Linked DNA regions of Caenorhabditis elegans. The protein of the gene in region 1 purifies or fractionates together with the protein of each later gene. This does not show direct contact. Each region holds a gene or a part of one and is shown on either strand. Other genes may lie near its edges.

Region 1 (5,086 bases):
TAAAATAATTGAATTTTTCGCGCTACATTGACAATTGCCTGCTGGAAAGTCGTGTACTCCACACGGACAAATACATTTAGCGTTGCAACTAAACCCCGGCCTTGGCCGAGTCAAAATGAGCCAGAACCGCGTGTGCACATAGATATTTGGAATCAGGAGTAAAATAATAATTCCAGGCTAACGCTCGTTTCTTCGGTGGAGACATCACAAAAGTGCCAACACAAGCTCTGACAGTCGGCGTCCAGACTGTAATGGATGCTCGTGAAGTGATGATTCTCATCACAGGATCACACAAAGCGCTGGCTCTTCATCAGGCAATCGAATGCGGAATCTCTCACATGTGTACGGTCTCTGCGATGCAGATGCATCGATGTGCAACGTTTATTGCCGACGAAGATGCCACGTTGGAGTTGAAAGTGAAGACGGTCAAATATTTCAAAGGATTAATGAATCATCATCGTTCACTTGTCATGTTTTAATCTGTATTACTTTTTTTCATGTACCCTTCCACTAATTTTCACTGTAACTTTCACTGTAACTTTGAATACTAAATATTGAACATTTTGGTACTCATTATTTGCCCATTATTCTTCCCGAAACATTTCAATAAAATTGAATTTTGAAAAATATTTATTAAACTTTCACAAACAAAACAATTAGAACAAGAATAAATACCAAAAAAAAAATGTTTCACCAATCCTCATCATCCCCCTTATTTCCACGTTGTCCCTTCTTATTTTTCGCCTTCTTCTGTCCTTTTTCTCCTGGTTTGTTGATGAGCAACGTGGCGTGTCCGGTTTCTTGTAAATGAGCAAATAACCTGGTCCGGCTATCGAATACCTCACGGCATTTATCACAAATTGCAGATTTTGGTTCAGTTGACTTCGGTGCTTCTTCCTCTACTGTCGCCGATGGGTTTTGATTTTTATCAGCTGAAAACAAAATTTTTGTTTTTGTTTTAAAGATTTTGCAATTCTACAAAATGTACCTCTTCTCTTCTTTTTCTCTTTCTTAACAACTTCCGGGGTACATTCCTTTTCCTCTTCCTCCGGCTGCTCATTTTCCACGGGCGGCGCTTCCTGAATCTCGGCTTCTACTGCTTCTGTTTCTTCCACATCAAATATTCCATTCCCCTTTTTCCTATCCTTTCTCTTATTCTTCTTTCCTTTCGGTGTTTCGTCGGGTTTCGGTTCTGCTTCGGTGAAAATCGTGGAATCTTCTTCTTTCATATGCTTTTTCAGCTCATTCAGCTGACGGATGTGTTGCTTCGAGTTCTCATGATTCAACTTGGCGTTTCTGAAATTAAGTTTGAAGAATATTATAGAGATGAATATAATCAGACTTTTGAAATTGAGGTGCAAGCGCGCTCCACGGACAAAAGTTGGGTCTCGTTAGGTAGTGGCGGTAAATCCATAATTTTAAACGTTTTCAATATTTTTTCGTATTTTTTGTCTCTCACTTTTCTTCAAGGATTTTCATTTTTTTCTAAAATAATCAAAAAATCAAAAAAATTATTTTTCAGAAAATTGACACACAATTTCAACTTTTTTATAAAGTTTTGTATATTTTGATAAGAAAAATTAGTCTTTTTTCTTTTTTTTTATATCGGAAAATTACATATCGATTTTTTTTTAGTTTTGGTTCATTCCAATTCGAAAAAAAAATTCTCGATGTTTTTTTAAAAATTTTTTCAATATTTCAAAAAATTTGATTTTTAGAAAAATGACCTCAAATTTTTCAATTTTTCTTCTTTTTTTTCATTTTTTAAACGTTTTATTTAGATTTTTCGATTTTAAAAGATCAAAAAAAAATTTTTTAAAGGAGTTCCGATAAATCTATAATTTTCGTTTTTCAATTCTCAATGTTTCGATTATTGTGCATTTTTTAAGCTTTTTTTTAAACAAAAATCGTTTGAAATTAAGGTTTTGCAGCCAATGCCTAACAAGACCCAACTTTGGAGGCGGAGCGATTTAATTTTTCCGTGAAGCGTACTTGCATCTCCATTTCAAAAATGGCATTTTTCTGCGTCTTTATAATATTCTGCTTACACAGTTTTGAACGATTTGCTACAAACAACACAATATGGAAGTTCTTCTCCTTCTTCATCACATTCATCACTACAAGTATCGTAATCCTCGGCCATTTGTAGACTAACTTCAATCAAATGAGCAAGACGGGCTGCCTCGGCTTCTTTGTCGTTCAGATATGAGTTGGCTAGCCTGAAAAATTCAATTTTTTCCTTATTTTTCACAATTTCGGAACTTACTCTTGATTTTTGGCGATCTGCTTTTTTCGATTATCAGCTTGTTTCTTATGTGCTTCCAATTTTTTTTGCTCCAAAATTTCCCTATATGCTTTGACACGTGGATCACGTTTTCGAACAAAAGCGACCAGATTCTGAAAAATTTTGTTAAATTTAAATTTAAAATTAAATATTCCGGACAATCATACCCTAATTTGCTCGTTCCTTTCCTGCTTTCCGACATCCCTAAACTTCTTATTTTCCTGATCGATTTGCCGTGATTCGAATCGATTTGAAGCCTGTGTGATATCATAATGATCCAGCCAGGCAAAAGAGCGAGTTGTCGAAAAAGAGCTCCAAAAACCGTAGAAACCATTCACAGTTTGCTCCAAATCGGTATCCTTGTCGCCAAACTCTGGATAGACTATTGTTGAATCGTTGTACGCATCATATTCCTCAGAAACTAGGATATTGAAGACTTTCCGGTAGACAGTGAAGAAGCCCTGTAATTTATAATTTTGATTTACTTTTTAGATTTCATTCTCACATTTTTATCGTTTTCATATCCTTGATAGCAAGAAGCGGTGAAATAGGGGAACAAATCCGTGGATTGTTCCTCGAAATCCGTATTTTTTCCCTTCAGAATACTTTCTCTATGTCTATCGTAAAATTCGCGTTCTCGTGGATCACTCAAAACGTCGTACGCAGCTTGAAGAAGCCTAAATTGCTGAGTACACTCTTCGATGCGATCCGGATTTTTGTCGGGATGCCATTTGAGCGCTAGTTTTCTGTAGTTCTTTTTGATTTTATCGTCATCAGCGTCGCGTTCAACTTCGAGCACTTCGTAATGGCATTTCATAGCTGAAATATTTAAAATTTACTCTAAATATGATTTTATTTTATAAATTGAAATGAATAGTTCATGCGAAACCATTTAAATAATAATAGAAACAAGAAAAAGAATTAAATGAAAAGAAAAAGTTATCTATCGTCTCTCCTTTCCACACGATGTCTCGCCATCTACATTAGAGCGCAATTGTAAAAAAATAATTTCCTATATTTTTTCCCACGATGTTTTGACGAATTCTGAGAAGCTAATTCACATTTTCCTGTTGTGATTCATATTAAATGTTGTTGAGCTAAATAAGAGCTATCGATTGATATGTCTGCCAAATTTCTTGCAAAAATATAACTGATAAAACTCTCGATAACAAAAGTTCGTTTCGAGTTCAAGCTCGGAAACCGATTTCCAAAATGTTGTTTCATCTTTATTTTCCTGAATTCCATCAAGTTTTCCCTCATTTAACATTAAAAATCTGTGTCTCTGATCACTCGTTGATACCAGTATCACATTAAAATCGTCCTTGACGTCGTCCACGCGGCCAATTTGTCCTTCAACCTCCATATTGTCATTCTTTACTTTTTCCTTGCAGTTTCGAACAATGTCCAGTGGAAAAGTTATCGTATACGGAGGCAAAGGCGCACTTGGATCTGCTATTCTTGAATTCTTCAAGAAAAATGGTTATGTAAGTTTTAAAAGAAATTGAATTAGGATGTTGTAAATTAATTTTCATTAATTTTCAGACTGTTCTAAACATCGACTTGAGTGCCAATGACCAAGCTGACAGTAATATTTTGGTGGACGGAAATAAAAATTGGACAGAACAAGAACAATCCATTCTCGAGCAGTAAGTTGTATTTTTAATTTAAAAAAAAGCTACCGTAACCTCATAAAATATTTGCAGAACTGCTTCATCTCTCCAGGGAAGTCAGGTTGATGGAGTTTTCTGTGTTGCCGGTGGATGGGCTGGAGGCTCCGCTTCTTCAAAAGATTTTGTGAAAAATGCTGATTTAATGATCAAACAATCGGTAACATATATTAATCCTAAACATCTGGTATTATTCTACCGTGAATTTTCAGGTCTGGAGTTCAGCAATTGCAGCCAAATTGGCCACCACTCACCTCAAGCCGGGAGGTCTTCTTCAGCTTACAGGAGCTGCTGCTGCTATGGGACCAACTCCATCAATGATTGGATATGGTATGGCAAAAGCTGCAGTTCATCATCTGACATCTTCATTGGCTGCCAAAGATTCGGGATTGCCTGACAATTCGGCCGTTTTGACAATTATGCCAGTCACTTTGGACACCCCAATGAACAGAAAATGGATGCCAAATGCTGATCATTCAAGGTAAAATTAAATTACTCTTTTTCTTTTGCATAGTTTTCTATGTTTTTTTTTCAGCTGGACTCCACTCTCATTCATCTCTGAACATCTTCTCAAATGGACCACAGAAACATCGAGCCGTCCATCTTCCGGGGCTCTCCTCAAAATAACCACTGAAAATGGAACATCGACTATCACTCCACAATAATTTTACCGACATTTTTCAGCCTTTTTTACATTCCGCTTATTATCTGTTATTTTTCCATGTAGTATGCTATCAATTTCTAAATCATTTGTCCATAAAGCTTGTGATGTTTTTAAGTAAAAATGTTTTATTATCTAGATGCGAAATATTGCAATTTTTCTGCTGAAAATACGGTACCGGTCTCGACGCGACAATTTCTTATGGTTTTTTTTTAGTTCCCTATTTTCTTTAAATTTATAGAAAATTCTACGGCAACAAAATGTTACAAAATTACAGTACTCCCTAAAGGCGCATCCCTTTTCGAAGTTAATCAAAGTTTGTCGTGTTGAGACCGAGTACCGTATTTTCGGGGCAAAAGTAAAAATTTGCTAGAAACTCGCAAAAGATTTTATACAAATTACGTTGAAAATAACTTTACCAAAATATTATGAATTCAGAGAATGGAAAATATACCTTGGAAGGGGCACACCACT
Region 2 (4,028 bases), 7.0 Mb from region 1:
ACTTTTCGTTTGTTACCTCATCTAGTTTAACCATCTGAAACAAAATATTCATCACCCCGGAAGAGATATTACGAGTAAATAAAATATCGACAATTTTTTGAAAACAAAAACATGGCATTTTCTTTTTTTTTTTCGGGGAAAAATTAATGAGAAAATGGAAAATAAAATTGTAAAAAAATTCTCGGAAGATAAAAGTGTGCAATCACCGCGACGGACTATTGCGGACTCGCATACCGTAGCCAATCAAAAGAAGAAGAAATGTTTTCGAAAAATAAATATTTAGAAGGCGAGAGCGAAAATGTATAGTTCTATTTTTTAATTGCTTAACAAAAGCGACGTATTTAGCAAAAAATGTTCAGAATACGCCAAGAAAAAGCTAAATTCTAAATAGGGAAGATTTCGTTGTATGATGAATAAAGTTGAAGATTACCGTAGTAAATGTGTTCGTTGTGAGACCTGCGCTCGTAATAACTTGGTCCTCCCTTTGAAGAAAATTTTGGTCAAAACACTTGATCTAATTAGAATTGTGTTGAATTTGAAAACCAGATCATTACCAAATCCCTCTTTGGTATATCGAAGCGAATTATTTCAGATGGATATTCATTGAAAAATGTCAACATAACGGGGGTAACGGCAAAAACAACAAGGTTAGCAAACAGGAACAGAAAAATTGGAATGAAGTGGTCAATGATTGTCTCCGACGAATCCGTTTGTCTTGAACAACTTGTTCGACTTGACTGCCACACGCAGATCGAAACGACGACGGAAACGCTCAACGAACTTCATGTCTCGAGCAACCTTCTTGGCCGCGACAGCTGAAATATTATTTTTGTTACATTTCTTTTTATTTCTACTATTTGATGTCATAGAATTCTAATAAAACTTACTCGTAGTTCCAGTCCAAGCGAGAGCTGGATAGAATCCCTTTGCTTTATCGAGTGCTGCTCTTGAAACAAGTCTCTGTGTACCATCAACTGGGCGAAGGTATTGTTTGAAATATCGATGAAGGTTACGGTGTCCAATTTTAGCTCCAGAAGGGAGAGTAAGCGACCATCCATCATCAAACAGTTCTGACTTATCTTGATCATCTCCATCATACATCGGACTGTAATCATAGTAGTCGTCGAGCTCAATCATGCTTTCAGGATCTCTGCGGAGTTTGCAGTGCTGCTTATCTCGCATGTGCTGCTGACAACTCTGAACTGATTCGTATCTGGCTTTAACGTCTGGGCAGAAGATACAGCAACGACCAGCTCCAACTTTAAGTCCCAAGTAGCTTAAGCATCCAAGTTCATCGCTCAAGTATTGCCTGTCTGGAAGTTGGAATCCATGATGGAAGTTCATATGAGTACGCATTTCATCCATATTAGGCTTTGTCTGTGGACAAAACAGACAAGATGTGACTGGAAGAGCATCATCCTCATTTAGTTCCTCCACACCTTCCTCCTCATCGTCAGTTTCCCATCCACTCGAGTCATCATCTTCATCATTTTCAGGTTCCTTTAGTGACTCAGGTTTCTTTGGCAAATTCTCTGGCTTCTTTCTTGGTTGCTTTGGACCTTTCTTCACATCATCCTCAATCTTCTTCTCATTTTCCTTGTGCTTTTTGCTAGCTACGTGATCAGTCATTGCATTCTCCGATTTGATTGATTTCCGACAAGCCTTGCAGTACAATGGTTCAACTGAAGCAGCAACGACTGGCTGAAAAATTGATAATGAGTAAGTATTAAGCGAACATTAGAAAACTTTTCCCCTACCTTTGTTGGGTTGAACGATGCAGCTTTCTCATTGAAAAGCTCAATTCCTATAGCTGGAAGCTCAGCAGCTTGTCTTTTCAGATTGTACCGATGCCATTCGGTTTTGTAATGATCTCTCTGCAGCTCGGCTGTCTCGAAGACGACACGGCATGTTACACATGTGAACCCTGTAGATCCATCCATTCTGATAGATCTCTGTAATAAAATGTTTAATTTAAAGCTTACAAGAAGAAATTTAAATAAATTGGAAAAAATATGCAAATGGTCAGCAATAACCATTTAAACAGATGAATAATAAATGATAATATACAATGAAAATACAGCTATATTTATTTGTTCAGTGACGTTAAATTCATAAAAAACAAAACAAAATTATTCGGTCTACGAGTGAGCTCGTTCTACTTAAAATCAATCGCATTACTTCCTCATAGTGGCCTATTTGGAAACAGTTGGGGCAGCAGCTGGTAGTTGGGTTTGAATTGACGCGATCTCCTCATCCCAAGCTTTTTCGATTTTGGCCCAGTGAGTCAGCAACTCCTTCTTTCTCTGCTCACGAGTATTGAAGTAGTAGGGGAACTGTTCACGTTCAGCCAATGTCCATTGATCCGAATCGACAATCTCATCCGGCGACTCGCGTTCACGATCATAACTGGAACCTCCTGGATCGAGAGCAAAACGGAAAGGCTTGAAATGACGTTTCTCCCACAATTGACGGCATCCGTCGGCAAGAAGGATCTGGCTCTTACGGGTGTCAACCTCATCAGCGTTAGCGTCGAATCGAGCACGGATAATACACTTTTGGAAGCGAACTTCCAGATTGTTTCCTCCATACCAGTTGTCAACTTCGCGAAGACAGCGTTTGTAGAGGCGGGTGACCTGAAAATGCAATAATTCGCTACATTTTAAACAGACGAAATCTCCAATCAGATTAAAAAACAACGCTACCAATTTCACAAACGACTAAAGCTTTTCAAAAATAAAAATTACCTTCTGTCTATGGCTCAGCGCCTTCGTGAACATCCACGCCGGCGAATCCATGGCTTCCTCCCGGTCTTCTCTGAAAACAATGGGTTTTATAGAGTACAAAAATATGTGATTGGAACAATAAAATAAAATTGGAAAAAAAACCAATCAGTTTAATTTTTAGTAAACAAGGAAAAGTAACAATTTTCATTTGAATTTTTGGGTAAAAGAGTTAAAAATTAAAAAGCAAATAACAACAACACAATTGGAAGAGGGCGAATAAAAGAAAAGAACAAAAATAACGATAACAGACAAAATGGAATGCGAAGTTTTATGCCTTGACCCTTTGTCGTGGCTCCGTTTCTTCTTCGTATTCAATCTCAACATGAGCTCGTTTCTTGAGCTTCTTCTTCTTTCCATCAGCAGCTTTCTTCCCAGTCTTTTTCTTCGGCTCCTTCTTTACCTTCTTCTTTGGTGGCTCCTCAATTTCCATTGGCTCATCACCTCCTTCCTCATCATCTTCATCCGAATCCTCTTGTTCTTGTTCTGGCTGCCAATTATCCTCGTTCTCACTGTCAGTATCTCCTGGTGACCAATGTCCATCACCTCCGTCTTCCATGTCCTGATCCTCATCGTCGGAACTATCAAAGTCAGCGACGAACTGAGTCTCACCCGTGTCTGCGTCGTCCTGCTCGAGTTCTTGCTCCACTTCCAACTCTTTTTCAGTGTTTTCCAGCATTTGTTCGAATGCCTCTTGACGGAAGTTGTAAACATCGCCATATGTTCCTTGTCTAAAAGTTGTTTCATTCAAAATGTGCACTTTCTAATATATCAACTCACTTAAGTCTGGCTAAGAGCTCTTTCTCAATAGCGTGATCAAGTTTAGCTGCAACAAGTGCCTTCTCTTCACGACGTTTCTCACGTCTTTCCACTTTCCGTCCAATTGGAATGAGTTTCTTCTGGCTGAAAATAAATAATACTATGCAAAATTCAGTTTCTATAAGTTTAAACTTACTTTCCACGGACTGCCATTTTACGCATTCTGATCAAATATTGATGAATTCGGATGAGACGAGCTTTGCACTTGTGTCTAACATATTCACTCCAATGAAGAAGTTGATCACTGATTTGTTCCAATGCTTTGTTCATATCCTTTGACAACTTTGTCTTTTCCCATAAACGACGTGGATAGTGAGATCGTTCGACAACTTTTGCGTACAAGTAACATACTCCGTTCTCCTCACGAACTGTTGCATACTGTGAGTTAGCCAATGGACACGAAGCTCTGTTGCACAAACCAGTCAAATT

Evidence for each region.
Region 2: the proteins of dnj-17 (region 1) and znf-622 fractionate together in Caenorhabditis elegans (co-fractionation; one large-scale study listed by BioGRID). This does not show direct contact.

The regions. Positions count from the first base shown.
Region 1 is NC_003281.10:13,390,235-13,395,320, forward strand, and holds dnj-17 (DnaJ homolog subfamily C member 21), read right to left. Parts: upstream 3,106-5,086; 5' UTR 3,102-3,105; coding exon 2,790-3,101; intron 2,746-2,789; coding exon 2,452-2,745; intron 2,398-2,451; coding exon 2,267-2,397; intron 2,220-2,266; coding exon 2,049-2,219; intron 1,297-2,048; coding exon 989-1,296; intron 933-988; coding exon 691-932; 3' UTR 616-690; downstream 1-615. Other genes in the region: T03F6.3 (Glucosamine-6-phosphate deaminase), read left to right, coding at 177-479; qdpr-1 (Dihydropteridine reductase), read left to right, coding at 3,685-3,768, 3,827-3,930, 3,988-4,111, 4,164-4,432, 4,487-4,616.
Region 2 is NC_003281.10:6,379,558-6,383,585, reverse strand, and holds znf-622 (C2H2-type domain-containing protein), read right to left. Parts: upstream 1,953-4,028; 5' UTR 1,941-1,952; coding exon 1,758-1,940; intron 1,702-1,757; coding exon 888-1,701; intron 816-887; coding exon 685-815; 3' UTR 590-684; downstream 1-589. Other genes in the region: let-716 (rRNA biogenesis protein RRP5), read right to left, coding at 1-34; C16A3.5 (NADH dehydrogenase [ubiquinone] 1 beta subcomplex subunit 9), read right to left, coding at 2,193-2,633, 2,745-2,795; C16A3.6 (Protein MAK16 homolog), read right to left, coding at 3,052-3,511, 3,561-3,683, 3,736-4,028.